2 linked regions of the Oreochromis niloticus genome follow. The protein of the gene in region 2 interacts with the protein of the main gene of each other region in a biochemical or structural test. Links are inferred from orthologs where the notes say so. Each region holds a gene or a part of one and is shown on either strand. Other genes may lie near its edges.

The links.
Region 1: the proteins of grk6 (region 2) and adrb2a form a complex in vitro, tested with the Homo sapiens proteins (2 studies listed by BioGRID, with this or other methods). The link is inferred for Oreochromis niloticus from reciprocal best matches to the Homo sapiens genes GRK6 and ADRB2.

What each region holds. Positions count from the first base shown.
Region 1 is NC_031966.2:29,905,379-29,915,681, reverse strand, and holds the start of adrb2a (adrenoceptor beta 2, surface a), read right to left. Parts: upstream 4,928-10,303; 5' UTR 4,747-4,927; intron 4,456-4,746; coding exon 3,196-4,455; 3' UTR 1-3,195. UniProt on the Homo sapiens protein: Beta-adrenergic receptors mediate the catecholamine-induced activation of adenylate cyclase through the action of G proteins. The beta-2-adrenergic receptor binds epinephrine with an approximately 30-fold greater affinity than it does norepinephrine.
Region 2 is NC_031975.2:30,386,813-30,397,254, reverse strand, and holds the start of grk6 (G protein-coupled receptor kinase 6), read left to right. Parts: upstream 1-5,677; 5' UTR 5,678-5,886; coding exon 5,887-5,938; intron 5,939-10,442. Other genes in the region: nop16 (nucleolar protein 16), read right to left, coding at 1,138-1,244.

The DNA.
Region 1 (10,303 bases), on a different chromosome or scaffold from region 2:
GGAAGAAGAACTTCCACGGAAATATTATGGTACAATTGAAAAGGCAAAACTGTTTAAAGTTCATGAACTCCAATGTCTATTTGGTTATTCGAAATCTCTACAAATACTTCCTGAAAGTAAATGAAAGTCCTATACAGTGCTGCTTTTAGGATGGTGAATAGTTTAATTAAAATCATGACTAAGTTCTTCTCATGGGCAAAACTGACTTTTATTCAATCTGAACAACTGTGGTTCTGTTAGAAAAGCACTGGTTTTACCCCACCGAGACTTGTATCATATTTAACCTGGTACTCCAAGATATTGATTGCCGTACAAAAAAATATATGTGTGAAATGTGCATGTCACTTTGTAACATAACCTCTAAGACTTCTCTGTAACCCTGAATCTGTTTTAAAAATATATTTCTTTCTGTGTGTACCCACACTAAAATCGCTTATCTGCTGCGAGACACTGGTGGGAGAACTAAATGTGGACTGCAAGCATCCGTAGGCAAGGTATGTGGTTAGAAACCATCAGCTGTGCTTTGCTTGGAATGTTATACTGTCAGCTATTCATTCAGGACTCATTGCACATAACAGTGTGGTGTCCTCCAGCAACAACGGGAGGTGAAGCCATGCATTGCATCCCTTATTATACAGCCTTATTGATGAAACAGTAACCATGAGTAACTCTGAGACAGCTGAGGTGCAAGGAGAGTCCACTGCCAGGAGAGAGCAGTGTGGATATATAGTTCACAATCTACAGCACTTGGGCTCAAACTGATCAATTTTAAAGGAAATGGCACAGAAGTCCACAAACACCTCACTACAAATGTGAAGCTGGCATGCAAGAGATCATTGGTGCATTACTCCTAAAATTACACGTGTTTAAGCTGCAGACCTTTTAAACCAGCAGAGACTCAGCTATTTACATCTTAATAAAAGCAACATAGAAAATGGTCTAGAGGCTTTGACCGTTTTGTGCTTTGCGTAGACTGTACAGTGAAAATGTTGGGAAAATGCAGACCAACATGTCTTATGACACCCAACCCCTGCATTTACTTTGCTGTAAATCTGTTAAAAAGAAAAACAGATAATGAGCTCGACATCCTGGAAAGCTTGTTTTTTCACATGGCAAACAGTGACGTATGAGGATACCATATTTACGTCTATTCCTAAGGTCTGCAGCAGCAGCACCGCTGATCGGACATAGCAATACAGTACATGGAGATTCCTCTGAGAGAACAAAGTTCACAGTTTTTACAGCATCAGCAGACCTGCACCGGCAATGCTACATGCACTTTAACACAGGTCACTAACACCGATTTAGACTTGCAGAGAATCCCTGGTCCCCCTTCTGCCACATTTAGCATGCTGATCAAGACATACTAGAGACTGCCAAACTGACTGGGGAAAGGGGTTCTGTCTGTAGGCACACCTTCATTACTTCTCTTAAGACTAATGATCTTGCACACCGTTTACTGTAAGTCACAAAAAAAAAAATTCTGTTCCCATGAGTATCTGATCTCATGTTAAATTGCCCCTTCGGATTTTATTCTAACCTGCATTGTTTATTAGAGAATTAATGTCAGAAAGTGGAACAGCTAAGGCACTGTTCTATGGACTCCTGAGTGTCTTATCCAAAGGTTTTCTGATTTGCAACTGATTTTACAACGGCGGAGGCACCTGTGAGAGAGCCGTGACAGTGGTGCGCTACTCAGGGCTGTTTTCTTTTTCTTCCTCTCATCTATCTTTATTACCCTGAATATTCACCACCGCCACATCTTGGGTGTGGAACTTTGTTATCGCTTGGCTATTTTGACACACTGTTTATTATTACGTGTGGTTTGTACCCTTGTGCCATGACTAAGGAAATGGCTTCTCTGGTTTCAGTAAACAGTGTACATGCTGAAACAGAGCAACCACAGATTTTAATAAATAAATAGGGCTTGTGCAACAAAGGGCGCTACTGTAACTGTTGCATAGAAGGAAAAGGAAAGATGAATAGTTTTTCTTACACTTACGTAATGGCCATAATGTACTGAGTCACATGTAGCACATAAGTCGGCCACTTAACAGAATGCAAGAAGTGATGGGTTCTGACTGTGCAATAGCAAACTTTAAAATGTGCACTTTTGAATTTATGTTAATAACAGCTGCAAGCTTCAAAGGTCAACACTCAGGATTAACCGCATTATCTGTAATGGCATCCACTTTGCACCGAAAGATTACATATATCTTTTGACCTGACAGCGGAATCTGGCTTAGACAGCATATACATGCTTGCAAGTTTTGACCACCCTCACTTTGACCTAGGTTTCATCAGTAACTCATAGATTACTGTGAAGCTTCATATCTCTAGTGCTATCCGCCCGCAATGGAAACTCAAATGCAAGAGACTGTAATACACTATAGAAGGGAACAGGGCCTCGTAACATTGCTGAGGAGTGAAACAGAGCGACTGAGACGGGTTTTGCCACACCTGCTTTGGATCATTTTTCAGATTTGGACAATCGTTAAAGAAAAAAAGAGCAAAGTAAAGGATGCCAGATTATAGTCTCGGTCAATTTGGAATGTGTTTCTTGAAGCAAAGCATCGAAGAGGTATTACGTTTAACCCTTCACCTTCAATCGTTCTCTGATTACTTTGCTCTTTGTGCCAAATTGGCACGTTCGGATGAAATTTACAACCTCCGACCGCTTCTCCTTTGAAATTCTGAAACATTTTATGCTAATAAAAACTGTGGGATCTTTCTCCAGCTCAAAGATAAACAACATGGCTACAAATTCAGTTGAAGCCAGACAATTAGCAGTCATACAATCCACAGGCCATTTAGTAGAGTAAATAAACTGCTGAGATGCTGCCCTACTTTAACTCCTGCGGAGAGTGACTTAATGTGACAGATGGTCAGCTAAGATGCAAATATTGAAAAGGTATGATGAGGTAGATGTGAAAATTCAAAAAAAAAAAAAATGCAAGAAACACACACAAAAGGGAAATGTGAGAGACCTACAGTTTTGTGTCACTGTGTTTGAAGAGGAAAAGTGACACTTTACTCAGCTGAACAGCTGAGTTATTGTTTCTTTAAAGTCTCCAGAGACTCTGTCAGTCATTTTTGACTGGCCTTACCTTCATCAGCCATTTAAAAAAAAAGTTTACAATAGCAATGTAAACATATCTGGATTTCCTTGTTGACAGAAGTCTCAGTGCTTCAAGTTTATAGGACAGTCGTTATACTCGTTACAGTCATTATGTCTTTGCTGCAATTCCCGTTGGGGTCCACTGCTCTGTCCACAACACTGCAGACCCCTGCTCCTTTCCCCAGAAACCCTTCAGTGGGGTCACTCTCTTCTGAGTTACCTTTACTCCTCCCCTGCTGCTCACTCTGCCAGCTGTGCCTGCTATAGATGTATCCATTCACAGGTCCAGGGTTGCTGAGGCGGTTCCTCTTCATGCACAGGATTTCCTTGAATGCATACCAGAATTCAGGGCTCCGACAGTAAATAAGTGGGTTGAAGGCAGAGTTTGCGTAACCTATCCAGTTAAGTACCATAAAGGTGGTCGGGCTGTTCACAGCCCATATAGCCTCCACCACGTTTAGCACGAAGAAGGGCAGCCAGCACAGAGTAAAGGTCCCCATGATGATGCCCAGAGTCTTCAGAGCTTTGTGTTCCCGAAGGCAAAACTTCGCCTTTTTAAGGCCACGCCCATTATTGGCCTCCAGAGAATTAGTGTTGCTGATGTCGCTGTTATGAAAACGTCCAACGCTTTTGTCAATCTTTTTTAGTTGGTGCCTCGCCTCCTGGAAAACTCGACTGTAGACAAAAATCATGATGACCAAAGGGATGTAGAAGGAGATGATAGAGGAAGTGATGGCATAAGCCTGGTTGGTGTGGAATTCGCAGCAATCAGTTTGGTTTATACACTTTTCAGCTTCCTTATTATCAGCAGTCCACCACATCATGTGGATGGGCAGGTAAGATATCAGTGCAGCAATCACCCAGACCAGCACCACCACAAAGCGAGCTCTGCACTTGGTCAACATTGACTGGTAGCGGAAGGGAGAAGTAATGGCCAAATAACGGTCTATGGCGATGACACAGAGGGTCTCAATGCTTGCAGTCACGCAGAGCACATCAGTGGCAGTCCAGAAGTCACACCAGAAATTACCAAAGTACCACGTATTATTAGAGATAATTTTACAGGCACCGAAAGGAATCACAATCAGACCCATGACCAGGTCGGCACAGGCAAGCGATGTGATGAAACAGTTGGTGACATTCTGGAGACGCTGAAAGCGGGCAATTGCCGTTATGACCAGGATGTTGCCAAAGACAATAGTCAAAACTAATAAGGACATGACCATGCCCAGCAGGATCATTACAGGGGCACTGAAACCTTCATCAGTCCCAGTTGAATTCGATGACGAGTTCATTGCAGTCATATTGGTGTACTCTGAGTTGGTTGTACTTCCCATCTGAAGAGAACACATATGAACAAAACACACACACACACACACACACACACACACACACACACAAACAAAAGGAGTGAATTTTACAAATTACGTTTTTTTTTTAATTCTGCCTAATTACAACAAAAGAAAATGAAAAAAAATGCATGCACTTAAATCTAGCACTAACAAAAAAGAAAAAGGAGACCAAAGCTTACCGCACAAAACCCACATACATAAACTCAGTATATCCAGTTAGTTTCAAGCAAGCTTTAAAACATGCTAAACAAGCCAGACAAAAGCAGAAGTACAAACCTCCACAGGTAGCAGTCGTGTTTCCTGGCTCCCATACAAAGTAAAATGTCACTGTTTAGGTAGTTCCCACAAAGCAGTGAGTATCACATGTCCCAGCTACTTTCTGCTTTACTTGATCTACGCGTGTCTCACTCACTCAGTCCCTCAGCTGAGCAGTGTTTCTTCTAATGTGTCTCCCAGGCTATTTGTCAGAGCCCTTATAGCATGCAGTGATGACATCATGGTCAGTGCTGAGCCAATCAGACAGCCAGCCTGCGGAGGGTGCAGAGAGCTCTCAAGAGTTTGAACACGCTGTCCCTACAGTGGTGTTTGCAGGGCTGCATGAGACAAAAACTGCAAACAAAGTAAAGGACTCCTTAGATTGATCTTTTTTTTTATAGTGTGAAATTAGTTTTAGAAGGTCTACACTGTGCTTAAAATTAGACTCTACTTAAAGTTAGGCACTGCAAAACTACTTGGAGGGGGGGGGGTAATGTGTAATAGCTGCTTTACAGATCTTACTCATTGCTCATATTTCATATTGAAAACAGGCTCAGCTTTCTGCTTTACCTTTTTATGTTTTAATGTCAAAGTAATGTTTTAAAACTATGTATATTTTTTTCTGACCTATTTTACTTGTTGAACTTAAATACTGCCCGCATACTTAAATGTATATTACAGCCCGTTTAGTTTTTGTAACCACAGAATGAAAACACTTAGATTTACATAATGCTACAAGTACAGATGTCTAAAAGTCAAACTAGGGAAGAGTCCCTCATAATTTTAGTCTAGGACTGCACCACTAGTGTGGCCAGTTTGACAGGGACAAGCTGTCACGCTATACCTTATCAAGATACAAAAATGTTTTCAGGATTCAGGACAAATTTGCATTTATATATTAAAAGTAGCTCTGTGCAAATCATAAAAAAACTGGGATGTTTGTTTGTTTTGTTTTTTTTAATATATGTATCTTAAATACTATTTAAATTTTGATGCAGAGAACTTTGTTATCTGTGTTTCAGCCAAACCGTGGCTGATAAGAAAGCTACAGAGCACCTAAACCACAGTACGTTTGTTTGGGTTTGTGACCTGGTTGTGCAACAACTAAGTAGGATGTTTTACCACAATTACTTTCAGTATGTATAGCTTTTTTTTTTTAAATCTTTGAGCATGGAAATTATTTTATATTTGTTTATGTGTTTGTTTTTTATGAACAGCAACTTTATTTCTTATTTAAATAAACATTCCAATGTTCTGATCAAGTTGATCCCACGTTTAAGTTAATTAGCAGCCACAAGATGCAATTTGTTCCCATGTTTTTGTACATTTACATTATATTACACAAGTTAAAAGGCAAACAGTGAAATCTTCAGAGCTAGATAAATAACATTTTCATTGTTTAGGCATCTTAACAATAACTTCATACTTATACATTGTAGTGTCTATGTAAAAGACACTCGAATATACTAATACAGGTTAGTCTGTTTTTCATCTACAACAATTTGCATTTGGTTGTTTTGTTGGACGTCCCCGTCATTCTACATGGATACTTGAAAAGCCTAACATAGAGGGAAACACACCTCCTGCCCTTTCATGTATATACATGGAAAGCCTGAGGCAGGGAAAGTAGTAAAAGCAGCAAACACGATAAGAGTGATTACACTGTAAACACAGACTTCACTTGCTTGTTTCAGCTAACATAGGAAGACTCTGAAAAGTGTGCTAGCAGGTGTAACAGATGTACAAACAAACAAAGCGGTAGTTTTCAAGTGGTTGAGCCATACGAATGGAATTGTGTCTTCAGCCTACACCGGTTAGTCTCCACACTGAAGCACCTGACAGTCGAAGTGAATGACACTGATCATTAAAATGCAATGTTGTGCTAGGGCCTGGCATTTATGTTAATTTGACGCGTGCTACCAAAGGTTACCACTACATTACAATACCACTTGTCAAAATCAGTGACCACTAGCCTGACAGCGTGCCACGCCACACTGCAAAAACTGCTTAGAAACACGTGCCCTGACATGACCCTGCTCAACAGTGGACTTCTCGTTTACATTTTGTGGCAGATAAGTAAAATAGCTAACAAAGATTTATTAAAGATGATTTAACGGTAGAATCAGTTTTCACCAATAGTGACAAATTGCAAACTCGAGTGTAGACTGCAATAGCACGTGATAGCACTAATGTTTTAGATAGTGACTGAATTTTGGTCAAGACTGGCAACGTCCAGTCCGAGTGCTTTCCAAATGGCTTCTGCTGCTTCTGCTTCAGCTTGCTGATGCTGCGAATCCTGATGATGGTGATCGACACAGAAAGCATTAGAGTAAATGAAGTGTGATAACTGACAGCCTGCTTGTACTCATGAGACCGAGAGGAAGTAGTAACGGTAGACAAGGTAAAACGGCTTAAATACCACATCACATATGAGCTTTGCCAATGGCATTCTCAAGCCTAACCAACGGGAGATCAGTGATGAGTGAAGTGATTTTAGTGACAGTACTGTGGAATGGAGTTATGTGTGGAACACACTGTTAACCAGGTTCAGATGACTGTACATTTTGATGAAAATTAGGCTGCTCTATTATCAGCATCACAGCAGTGAAAATGAGCTACAGCTTGTGCTTTTGTCATTTTTGAGCAACTGGTCCAACATTTCAAATCCCAGGTCGAGGTAAGTGTGTCTCAGTTATCTGTGGGTGCTTTCAAGTGTGTACAGGTCCACGCTAAGCTTACAAAGGGAAGTGATGATAGTTTCCAGAGCTCTGATCTTCAAAGAATGCAGACGCCAAAGGCACTGTACTTCCTCTGTGCACTTCCAAGGGAGCTTTGACAAATGCCTATATGACTGATGACGCAAGAGCAAATCCAACCACTCAATCCATATGCGCAAATCCAATTTTCAGCATTTACACAGACATCTCAGTACTTATTTATACAAATATGATTTTCTATGTCCCACTTTTTAAACAAAAACGGGTCAGAGACATGCTGCATACTGCTTGTAACCATGGTGCCTTCTGACTAATTTGAACTTTGTTGCTCACAGTAAACGTTCCAGGCAAAATGTCAGTAACTAGCTACTGGGTGAATTACTCGAAAATGTTCCATAGGCATTCATAGGAAGACTTAAATTGATTTGGTGACCTTTTGTCTCGTTACATATGTTGCTTATATGACAACTTCTCTTGGCAGATTTCCATGAAAACCAGTAGTCATATTCCCAAAATTCATTTAGATGTTTTAATGACCTTTTAATCTATTTCCTTTTACTACTGTGAGGATTAAACTTCCACATGCGCCCCAAAAAGAGGAAAAATGTAAACATGCATTGCTCTGAAATCAAAAGTCCACTCCTTGGGCTTTCCCACTGGATCAGCAGGTAAAAATAGTGCCATGAAATACCCCCAGCTCATTTTACTCATTTGATTTTAGTAACCCCCATAGTCTTATCTCTTGCACAACATGCATGACAAACCCACCATGCTTAGCCTCTAAAGATACGTCAGTATATTATCAGCACCTTCCAACAGTTAGATTGTAAGTTATAATGTACAGCATAGGCATCAAATGCTTTTTTCTCCTTCATGTATTACTTTGAGGAGCTTTTCTGTTTTGCTTTTAATGCAGAAAAAAGATTTTTAAATAATATCAAGAAAGCTTTTTATTGGATGATCAGCTTTAGCGTTGTCTGAGAATGCTGGATTTAGGCCTTGAGCTCGTTTGTAATTGTAGGCCTATGTGGACAACTAAGTGAAACACAGTACATATTAAACTTCACATTGATTTAGTTTAAATATGCAGTACAATAACCTACACTAATTGTAAATGAAATTTCTGTTCTGTGTTCTGTTTTGGAAAGCTTGTTCCAGTGTTGGATTAATCACAACTGGTTTCCTCAGTCTGTGACATCTGTTTTCCTGTATCCTGTCACTCCCAGGCAGAACCGGTTCACATTTGGGTCCTGTCTGCACTTAGATGTTGTGCACTGCTCTATTTAGTCAAACACTGTCACATTAAAAGTGTCTTATCTCTTTACCATCTCCTGTACAATTCCTACTTCTCTTTATTGAAGTTGTGATGCTGACCTGATGGCCCAACAAATTACTCAGCCCCCCCCTCCCAACACCTGTTACAGTGTCACATTTTACTGTGTGTACAGAATTTTTGTACTTGAATTCTAATGCTAATATCTAAGGGTAAGGTAAACTAGAGACGGGAAGTCTTTCTTCACCTGGCAGAGGAATTGCCAGTCTCACGGGAGTCACTTTTTTCTCTGCCTCATTGATTGCAAACATACAAAGAGAAGGGCGAATTAGACTCTTGTTTGAGGAGGTTAAAGGCCAAATACTGTGATGACCAGTGTTGGGACTAACGCGTTATTAAGTAACGCGTTACAGTAACTACGTTATTATTGTGGTAACGAGCACGGTAACTAGTTATTATGCCAAAACCAGGAACGCGTTACTCGTTACTGGGATTTAGATAGGCTCGTTATTCGTTACTTCGTGTGGTGGATATCGCGGAGCTTCCACAGATTCAATAACATTAGCAAGTGGTGGAAGCCAGCAGGTGGATGAAGGAAAAGGGAGGCAAGAGGAGAGACCCGAAGCGGCCGCCGGTCCGCGTGTCAGGTGAACTGAACTTCCGGTAAGAAGTTATGACCTGCAGTCTGTCTGAGTCAGATATAAACCAAGTTTAGGTGGAGTTTATTTTCGGTATGCTGACATTTTCGTACTGCGTGCTAGCTAGCATGACGGAGTTTCTATACAGCTGGGTGGGTGCTATGTTACTGATGTTGAACTTTATTTTGTTCATATGGTTAATTATTAGAGTTGCCAACCGTCCCGTAAAAAACAGAATCGTCTGGTATTCAGAGAAAATATTACGCGTTTCGTACTGAGGTGAAAAGGAACACAGTTTGTCCCGGACTTCAGCTACAATGAAAAAGACACAAAGCTGAAGCTGCACAGCTGCCTCTTCTTCTCTCATTCTCTCCTCTCCTGTTTCTACTTCAATCACGAAACTGATCAATGATCAGCTGATCGGCTTTTCTCTCTTGTTTGTTTATCGCCCACTTTGTGCCAGAAAGAGGAAACCAGCGGATGTCGCGTTAAACAACAGCATCACGTTTAAGCTTGATCAGCTGTTGTTAGAATGTATTTAATATTAATTTCTAGTATCAGCTGATGTTTGCTGGAGCCACAGCTGTAAAGCTGCTGGTCATGATATCGGTTTGGTTATCTGGTGAGAGGGAAACATGCAGATGAAACCAGGAGATGTCCTTACTGAATCATCAGAGCTGAACAGGTGATGGAGAAACAGGTTTACCTTTTAGGTGACATGAATGAGTTGAAGGGAAGTTATGAACTGTTTCTGAGAGACAAATAACACCAGGATCCTTTTCTATGTAGCTGACAGCTGGTAACTGTGCAGGGGCGGGTCTAGCAAAGTGTTGCCAGGGGGCCAGGTAGGGCATTAACAGGGAAAGGGGGGCACAAAGAAATACTTTTCTTTCTTATTCTCATTTAAAATGTCTTGCTTTAAAAAAAAAAAAAATTATCTGAGTCTTACA
Region 2 (10,442 bases):
CTGGGTCTGAAGTACACTGGGATGTCGTGCTTGGAGAAAACTCTCCTGAGTTTCTCTGATACACCGGCTACATAGGGGATGACAATGTTGTTGCATCTGTCTTTCTTATCCTCCCTCGCTGGTGTCTGATCTTCTTTTCTGTGCATCTTTGCTGACTTTATGAACGCCCAGTTAGGATAACCACAAGCTCATGGCACAACATAGAAGAGCCACCTCCACGGGACAAGACTCAGCAGTTCATCTGCATCTTAAGGTCAAAGGTCACTCTTTTGAGGATGCCAACGTTCACATTTTGGACAGAGAGGACAGATGGTTTGAAAGAGGAGTGAAAGAAGTAATTTATGTCCACTGTGAACAGAGGCGGTGGTTTACGACACCAACTGTCTGCCATCTATAATCCAGTTTTGAGATCCTTCCCAGACGCCTTAACGCCCACTCACATCCTGGGCCATCTGACCTCAGGAAATCACATGATAGGGTGGGGCCAGGTTTCACAATGAGCTCACCCGAAACTCTGGCTGATTAGGACCCCCACCTGCTTTCACACCTTGGCTCATGTGATTAGGTAGAGGATCACCAGGGGGTCCTTTGTCCCCCTTTGGGGGGGAAACTCCCACTAGGTTTAAATCTGGGACTCTCCACCACTGACCCTCAGAACTGAAGAAGCTTCTCGGATGAGAGGTGAAACGTCTTCAAGCAACTTAAAGAACTCCAGACGCTTTTCTTTCCAAGCTCCTTAGTCCATTTGTATTCTATTTTTATCCTATTGTATATTTTATTCTACTGTATATAGTATTTTATTCTATTCTGTACAGTTGTGTACGGTATTTATTCTTATTGTATTCTAATTTTTGCTTCATAACTTTTGCACTGTCCACCTCCTGCTGTGACAAAACAAATTTCCCACGTGTGGGACTAATAAAGGTTATCATATCTTATCTTATTTCTTGAACAAATGGGACCAATCAACTTTAAACAAATGTGAATTAATTCGCTGTAAATCTACTCACTAACGTAAAGAATGTACTCGATCAATCAATTAGTCGACTCTCGGGTCACTGGTATGTTTTGGCTGCAGCTTTAACAACGTGTTTTTGCATCATTCCTACTAATATTAGCACACATGCTAACACTCACTGCTCGATCCTGGGGTTCGACTTCTTCTTGTTCTTCGTCTTCACGTTCTTCCGGTTCCGGTTGTAGTCAAACTTCTTCCTCCGGGCTGACTGCTTGGCTCGCGGCATTTTAGAGATTTTCCTCCGTTTTCAGAGCTGCACACTTTGTGTTGTTCTTACTGTGGCTCAAAAAAATCAGAAAGGGACAGGCAACATGCGGGCAGCAACAGGAAGCACGTGTTTGGTTGGTCCAGGTCACGTGACCACCAAGCCACGCCCCCTCCAACCCAACCGTTTTTTATTAAAAACTTTTTATATTTTTTTCAGAATGTACAGAGTCCACCTGCAAAAAGAAAATAAAGAAATAGAATGAAAAATAATATAGTACAAGAAAAAAAATATTTTAATATTTACAAAATAATGTGACAAAAAATAAAAATATAAATGAAGAAATTATTTTCTCTGATTAAAACAATTGTTTCATAAATCAAGTAACTCAAATAATTTTGCAGGGAAAAACTTAAAAAATAGAAAGTTTTAAGTTTGCTGTATGTTATGCAAAACTGCTGAGATAAATAACAGAGGTGAGTCCAGAAGGGGGGCGTGTGGTTCGAATGGACCCATCCCAACAATGTCACTGGATCAGAGTATTGTTAATCTTACAGTGGATGAGAGCAGGAAGAAGGTACAACCATTCACTCACTTACACACTGTAACATTGTAACATATTCCCATGTTATGCTGTTTTCTTTTACTCTTCTATATGTTGAATATAAATAATGCATCATTCATTTTAAAGCTTTAGTATCTTATCTTGCAGATAAATTGCATTACTAAGCTACCCAACCACAATATACATCATTACAATATCAAAAGCTTCAACATTAAACTGGTATAAACGTCGATCAATCTATAATTTTCATCCATGTCATGTATATGACCGTGAACATGCCATGTGTACTGTATTTATTCTTATTTTATTTTATTCTAATTTTTTGCTTCATAACTTTTGCACTGTCCACTTCCTGCTGTGACAAAACAAATTTCCCACGTGTGGGACTAATAAAGGTTATCTTATCTTATCTTATCTTATCTTATGAATGATTCATTCATGAATACTTTGATTATAAATCAGAATTACAACTTTCTGCTTTTTTGTTGACTGCTAAAAGTCAAAATTCTGTTTTTCCACTTCACAAAACAATCATCCAACACAAACTGATCTTTAAACACGAGCAACATTGTTCAATACACCACCATGTAATAAATCTGTAATAGCATGCAAAAATCAATCATAATAAGTAAATATACAAGCAAAATATTATTTAATATTTCATTATTAAATAAATAAATAGAAATAAATGAATAAAAAACCTATCCATGTTGGAATGTTTTATTCAAAGACACAATGGTAACACATCTGGGTCAGGGTTAACTCTGTTTTTGTTTTTTACCATGTATGCCATTAAATGAATTAAGACTTTGTAACAGTAAGTTAAAGCACTAAAAGCTTATTTATGATCGTTGATATTAATAATTTATCAAACATTTCTTAATAAGGGTGTGGAATTATGCATCATCAAGAGAAAACATTAAAAAAAAATCACAAATAGACTTGGAATCGTAAATATGCTCATTTTTATTTTATTTTTATCCCAATTTTTAAAATTAATATTTGTATTTATTTCATTATGTATTCAAACTCATGACTTAGGGATGTTTATTTTTAAATGAGATGCTGGACATCGTGTATTTCTGAGCTGCTGAGTCAGAGCTGAGAACCTGCAGCTGACGACCGAAACCTCCAGAGGTCAGTGTGATCTAACCTACGCCACACCTACTCAGAGACTCACAGCGCTGAAATCCAGACATCCTCAGAGTCGTCATTATTCATTATTGATCAGATATAAATAAAATCTACACTGCTGATGATCTGAGTTTCTTCTCATAGTTTTCTTTGTGAGAAACAGCAAAGTAGAAATACTAACACAATCCTCCTGAAATCTAATATATACCAGACTTTAGTGCCAGAAGTGAGGAGCAGCCTACAGTCTCTCCTCGAACCCTCGACTCTGTGGCATCCTTTAAAAACCAGTCGCCTGGGTGTTTTGTATTGCTTTACTGGATTCAGGTGTTTATCTCACCATTTTTTAATACATTTGTAAAGCACTTTTTGACATGTCCTCATCTTAAAAAGCATTATATCAATAAACTTTACATATTAATAAAGCAAGTTTACCTGCACACTATTACCACTTAAATTCACAAATAGCTAAATGACATATGATAACAAAGAAACATCAATAAATATATGCCAATAGTACCACAAGCAGTAGGCCTAGTAGTTACAGTAGTAGACACATATTTTCCGTACAGTTCACACAAACACAAACTGTCTTCAATATTACAGGAAACAATAAAAGTTCAGATGACTTATGAAAATTTAAATTTCCCACAGCGGTGGAATTTCAATTCATTCATTGTAAGCCAGAGCTCCTGGAGGCTCTTCTGATTCTAAGAAATGAGTCCAAACCACTGAACTGAATGGTTTAATAAGTAAAAGTAGAAAGAAAAAAACAAAACAACAACAGCAATTTTAGTTATTTTCAATAGAATTTGCACAAATGTTTGCAGTTAAATTGTGTTGAACTTACCTAAATCTTAAATCGTACCTATTCTTTTAACAATTCATTGTTGTATGGTTTGAACAATGAAATGCTTTAGTTTATACATATACATACGTACATATACATATTATAGTATACGGGAAATACAGCTGCCCTTCTGCTTAATGATGCAGCTGATCTTTTTAATAGGGCAACAATTACATTTTAATATCCACAAATCCTTCATAATTAACATTATCTCAATTTATCAAATTTAAAAAAAAAAAGTCCACCTGAGAATCTCAGACTGGCTTAAAAAAATCCATGAGAAAGCAATATTTGTTTACAGTTATGCAAAATGTAGATTCCTGTTGTCATTAGTTTTCTCAAAAATACTTTTGGGATGAAGGTAGAGCTGTTTTTCAACGTTTTCCTGAAATCATATTTGAGAGGCCTTTTAAAGGACTGTTTGAGCTCAGTCCTTCAAATGTTTCTCTACCATTATAGACTGTCAGGAGTGGCGCTCGAGTTAATGACGAATGCTTGAATTCCCTGAAATATTTGGATGTACAATCTGTGACAACCAAATCTGCTGTCAAAGATCACACATCCAAATGTTTCAGGGAATTAAAGCATCATCATCATCATTTATTTATATAGCACTTTAAAAACACACCTGGTAGACCAAAGTGCTGTACAATACCAATATGCACATAGTAATAAATAAAATAAAATAAAATAAAATAAAATAAAAGCATTCATCATTCTACCTCAACTGAAGTCCTCTCCTCAGAGTCCACATTTAAAAAGTACTGAGCTCAAGTTATTTTAGATAACGGAATTATAAAATTGCCTCTCATTAAACAATTATAGAAAAACTCCTAAAAACTGCATTACTTAATTCCTTAGATTATCTTTTAATTAATGATAGGAGGGACTTCCTGTTAAGTAGTTTACTTTTGCCCAGGAAACTCGTAGATGGCCAGTTGTGGGCGATTTGATGACCTCCACGGTTTCACAAACTTAGTTTTGTACTTAATTTACAACACAGACAACATTATCAATAGAGCTTAAAATCAACATGTAGTCTACAAATAACTGCAAGAAATCAAAACTTTTTGCGAATTATTTACATACTGAGATCAAATGGGCCTAACTGTAATGTGATTGGTTTGTCTACAACAAATATATTTGCTTTGACATAATTTATTGGACAAAGAGACAGACAGCATAAGTAATAAACCGTTAACCCAAAGTCACGAATGAAACCGTCAGCTAAAAGTAATACACAGTTAACTGAAAACAAAAAAAAAGAAGTAGCAAAAAATGTATAAACTGTTAACGTAAAGTAACGAATGAAACAGCTAAATGTAATAAACAGTTAGCTAAAATAACAGATTACAAGGTCAGCTAAAAGTAATACACAGTTAACTAAAAATAACAGACAGTTAACTAAATGAATTAAAAGTAATAACCTGTTATAAATGGCTAAAAGTACTCAACGGTGAACCAAAAGTAATTAATTAAATGTTTAGCTAACAGTACTAAATGCTTAAATGATTAAACGGTTAGCTAAAAGTCATAAAGCGCTATCAGAGACCAGTTGTGCCCGTCTCTGGTAAAGGGTCCATTATGAATAATGCCAGTCAGTCTTTTTTAAATTGCATGGTTAAGTTTTGTGGACAGTAAAGTTTGTTTTAATATAACTCAAACTCTAATGGTATTGTTGCTAGCATTTTCTAATAGCTTTAAATTGCTTGTTTAAGTAACACACACTTCGAGGCTAGCTCAAAACCGAAGCATTAGATATGAGCAGAGTGAGCTATCTGCCTTTGATATTATGATGTGTATTTCCTTAAACGCGCCTTTGTAACAGAGTGAGAAGTCTGCTTTATTTCCTCCTCTCTGACAGCAGCTTCAGGGCGGAGAGATGGAGCGAGGAGGAGGAGTAACAGGAGGAGAAAGAGGAGAGGAGGGGCGCGGACTGTCACCGGACGGGTCTGCGCGAAAGCAGAAACGGAGCTTGAGTTTTTCCTCCTTGGCTGGGCGGTGGGAGGAAGTGGTGGCGGTGGACGGTGCTTGGCAGAGGATAACTGTGATTGAAGCCGCCGGGGGGACCTGGAGCTCGGTGTGCTGCCGCTGCTGTAAGCCCGCACAGCATTAACATGGAGCTGGAGAACATTGTGGCCAACACTGTGCTGCTCAAAGCACGGGAAGGTAAGGATGGGGAAGGCGGTGTGACAGCTCCTCTCCACCGGTGTGTTACAGTCACAGCACCGGAGGGATGCCCCGGACTCGGGCGACACGAACTATTCCTGCACTTCCTGACAAATCTTTTGATGATGCGCGCAGGGTGTTACCGTAAATACAGTTCGTACAAGTAGATTGAAACGACCAACCGAACTCCGTTTATAATTCGAGCGGTATAAGCCTTTGTTTCATATCCGTGGTCCTACCCTGAATGTCAACTTAATGAGGACTTTATTCAAAAATTTAGCAAACAGTGTCCAAATCGGCGTGGAATATGTTTAAACAAATCTCTTAATTACCGTGAAATCTCTGTCTTCCTTGTTCATTGTGCCGACTACATTGTAAAGTCAATAGCTCTGTTATACTACCTACACAGGGCATGTATGAATGTTTACTATATTCCAGTATACGCCGAATTAAAGAGTATGACCTAAAGGCTGGGAAAACGTTACAAGTACCAAATGTTTAAAATTATTTTTTGGCCTGGCTTTGATAGTGTACCTAAAAACGTTGTCCGGAAAGGGTTGTAACCGTGAACTGTGGCTGCAGCGACACATCGGGTTTCCCTTGCTGATCTTGCAGCATCGTCCTGTAGTTTGCGAAACAGGATGTTGTGGCAGAGCAGCTGCTGTGCATGGCTTTGTGCACACAATTGATTTTACTGTTCCTGCCAAAGCCCATCATCATTAAAAAGGCCCTCATTAATCAGCTACAACCAGGAAGCTGTGATATCTGTGGGTAAGAGTCCAGGTGAAAAGGTTGGCTTGTAGGAAACCCTACTGGCACAGTTTGTCCAATGACTGTTAACACTTTTGAATACCTAATGCAACATAAACGGCCCTCATGCGATCAAAGGCTTTTGTTATTGTTCCAATAAACAGGAGACAAAGGTTTGAGTGGCTCACAGCCGACATAATCCTAATGCTGTCTGCACAGGCACCTGAGAAGATGTTTCATGAGTTTATCAGCTGTGCTCATACATAACCAGGACCTGAGGCTCTGTGCTGGCATCCAGCTGAAGCACCCTTGAGAAAGGCACCGTATCTCCGGGCTCCGTCAGGCCTTGACTCTGACCTCTCTGGAGCTGAGACTTATCTAAACTCTTGAGTTCAGCACTCACACAGACCGGCACAAAGTTTGAGCCCGAGGCTTTTAATTTCCTGCGTTCTGCAGAATTTTCTGCACCGGTTTGCACCTTTTCTCGTCGCTTAATATGTAACGCATAATTGCTTTATAATGATTGTTCTCAGTTTTCCTCATTTAACACTGTCCCCACTGAGTCATCACACATGTAGCCGTGACTCTTCTGACCTCATTGGGGTTTGCCTGGTTTTGGATGTGAGAGTCATCTGATATCGGGATAATTCCCCGGCCTTTTGTTTGGGGATGAATGAATAATTTGTTTATTTTAATTTACATACCTAAGACGTGTTTCAGTAAACAGGGCACTCATTCATTGAAACAAGGGCTGGCAGTGTTATTCTTCAGCATGTGTTGGACAACTTTTCACTTTCTTTAACCCAAACTGGGATTTTTTTCCTCTAAATATCTGCATGTAGTTTTAAGTAATAATTTATGAGGTTTTTGGATCAGTAATGTATTTATGATGTATTTAAAATAACACAAATTGATGTAAAAGCTGACTGAAGTGATTTGCTCTAACAACGACGATCCCTCCATTTAAAATTGGAAAAATATTCATGTCATGCACACCAATGACGTTGAGGAGTCCAGTGACACTTAAGTTAATAGGGAACAACTCTATGAAGTGACCAATGTGTTTCGGCTTGGTCGAATGACCCTGAGGAACGCCACAAGCCGAAACACGTCAGTCACTTCATAAAGTTGTTCCCTATTAATTTAAGTGTCGCTGGACTCTTCTGTTTGTTACATTCTGTTAGTGGAGCGATAAATACAGTCAATAAACTGTAATGTGTCAGTGAACAACACAGACACATTACAGCGGGTCTTTACTGAAACTAAATCAGAACACAGAGGCAGTGTGTGACAAACAGTGACTGAGTGGCTTGTTGAAGCATGTTTAGCAGGAGTAATTTAAAGTGTGACTTTATTAATCTCCCATATGGTTGTGGAGGATTTTTCATTCACTCTTCTTTACAATGTTGCTTCAGTTCATTGAGGTTTGTGGGCACTTGTTTATGCACAACTCTGTGAATGTCCAACCGCAGTATGTCAGGCGTGGCGGGGACCCTGAATCTTTTCTTTTTCAGTCGTTCTGTTTGATTTGCTGCTTTGGATCATTGCCCTGTTGCATGACCCAGTTTAGTTCAAGCTTTAGCTGTCAGACAGATGGCCTCACGTTTGAGTCTTGGTATACAGGCAAGTTCATGGTCGACTCAACGGCTGCCAGGTGTCCAAATCATCATCCATCCACCAACATACTGAAAGTTGGTATTAAGGTTTTTTTTCTGATCTGCTGTGTTTGGTTTTCTCACAGGTGGCGCTGTGCATTTCCACTTTGTATCATCTGTCCAAAAGACATTGTTCTAGAAGTCTTGTAGTTTGTGGAGATTTGCAAACCTAAGCCGTGCAGCCATGTTGTTTCTAGAGAGACCTTTTTCCTGGAAACCCTTCCAAACAGGGTGTACTTGTTCAGTCTTTGTCTAAGTGTGCTGAAATGAACTTTAACCTTGCTAACTGAGGCCTGTAGAGTCTAAGACTTTTCTCCAGTTTCCTACACGTTTGGGTGTCTTTGCTGTTCACTCCTGAGAAGATCGTAGTATGTTTCTGCTGGAGGTTTCTTCCTGTTGAAAGGGAGTTTTTACTTCCCACTGGTAGGGCTGCTCAATTAATCGAATTTTAATCTAGATTACGATCTGGGCTTTCAACGATCATTAAAAATGACTGAGCCGATTATTAGCACCTCCCTCGTGCTTTACTCTCGCGCTGCTCCGTGTGGCAAATCGAGCGCACCTCTCCGCGTTTCGAACACGCGTCACAACAATTAAGAGGATCCGAGGGAAGCTCGGAAAGCTAAGCAGAAGTTATTTGGAGAGGAGAGGATAATGGCTGCTGCAGAAAGAATGCCGTTGGTTGAAAAGAGGTAAAACGACTTCGGTGGTGTGGAAACATTACAGGTTCGCGGAGTCAGACGGGGATCAAGTAGACATAGTGTGGAAACTTTGCTACGGTGTCGTAGCTGCACCACAGAGCAACACTACAAATTTATTCAATCATTTGAAGACCGCTCACAAAGTGACACACGATCAAACAATGAAGGAACATAGAGAAAAACTCTCGACAACACCTGCTTCATCCTCACAGACCTCCATTCACGCTACCCTGTACAACGCGACTAAATATCCCACCAGCTCCCAGAGACACACGGAGATAACAAACGCGGTAACGTTTTCCTCGCCAAAGACCACTGCTCAATTAACACAGTGAACAACCAGTATTATGCAGGATTTTGAAGTTCACTAAACATAGATGTTTACATTTTTCATTTATTTTTTATATTGCAAACATTTGCACTGTAATCAGTATTTGCACACTATTTTATATTATTTTTTGACCTCTTTAAAGTCATTATTCAATACATTGTTATTGTTAAATAAATAACAATGAAAAGCGCTATATAAATCCAATGCATTATTATTATTATTAATATCGTCAAATAATCGAGATCTCAATTTCAGTGAAAATAATCGTGATTATCATTTTTGCCATAGTCGAGCAGCCCTACTGACTGTCATCAAGTGCTTGCTCACAGGGGGTTGTCTGATTGTTGGGGATCATTGAAAGGTCTTTACCTCAAAATACGAAGCACCTTGAGGTGAAAGTTGTTGAGATTTGTGCTATAAAAAAGAAATTAAATTGACTTGTGTTATCACACACCTGAATGAGTCAATAGAGGTGGTCATGCTTGCAGATGATAAATTAATTAACTGCATTTGATCAGCATGTGGCTGATACTTAACCTCTAAGTCTCTATGGATGCATTAGGGGTGCTCTTCATTTTCCCCACACTGTTTCTACATTTTGCTTTAGTTTTGTTACAAAGTGTGATGTTACATATGTCATATTTTGGATTTTATCAGGTTATATTTACCTAATTTTAGAACCTACAAAGAGCATGATTAATTCTTGTTTGTGTACTTTCTTTGTAACTGCGCACGAGTCCTAAAGATAATCCTGTAATCTAAATGTACGTTTTCAAAGAGCATACCGCTTAGGTGCAGAGGAGGTATGCAGCCAGACGATGATAAACTCTCAGCTCATCAGCAGCTCTGTTTTTGCATCCGTAAACCTTTTAGAGGGGCAGCACCTTGATTTTCGACATGTTTGTGTCATTCAGGTGTGTTATGGAAATTTCAGAAGAAAGCTTTTTTTGGGAGTTTCATCTGTAGTCGACCTGTTTTACTGTGAAGTTGGATTATTCAGAGTGGTGTATACTGTATGTATTCAGCTTTGCCCAAGGATGTGATTTTAGCCCATTTCCTCACTTCTG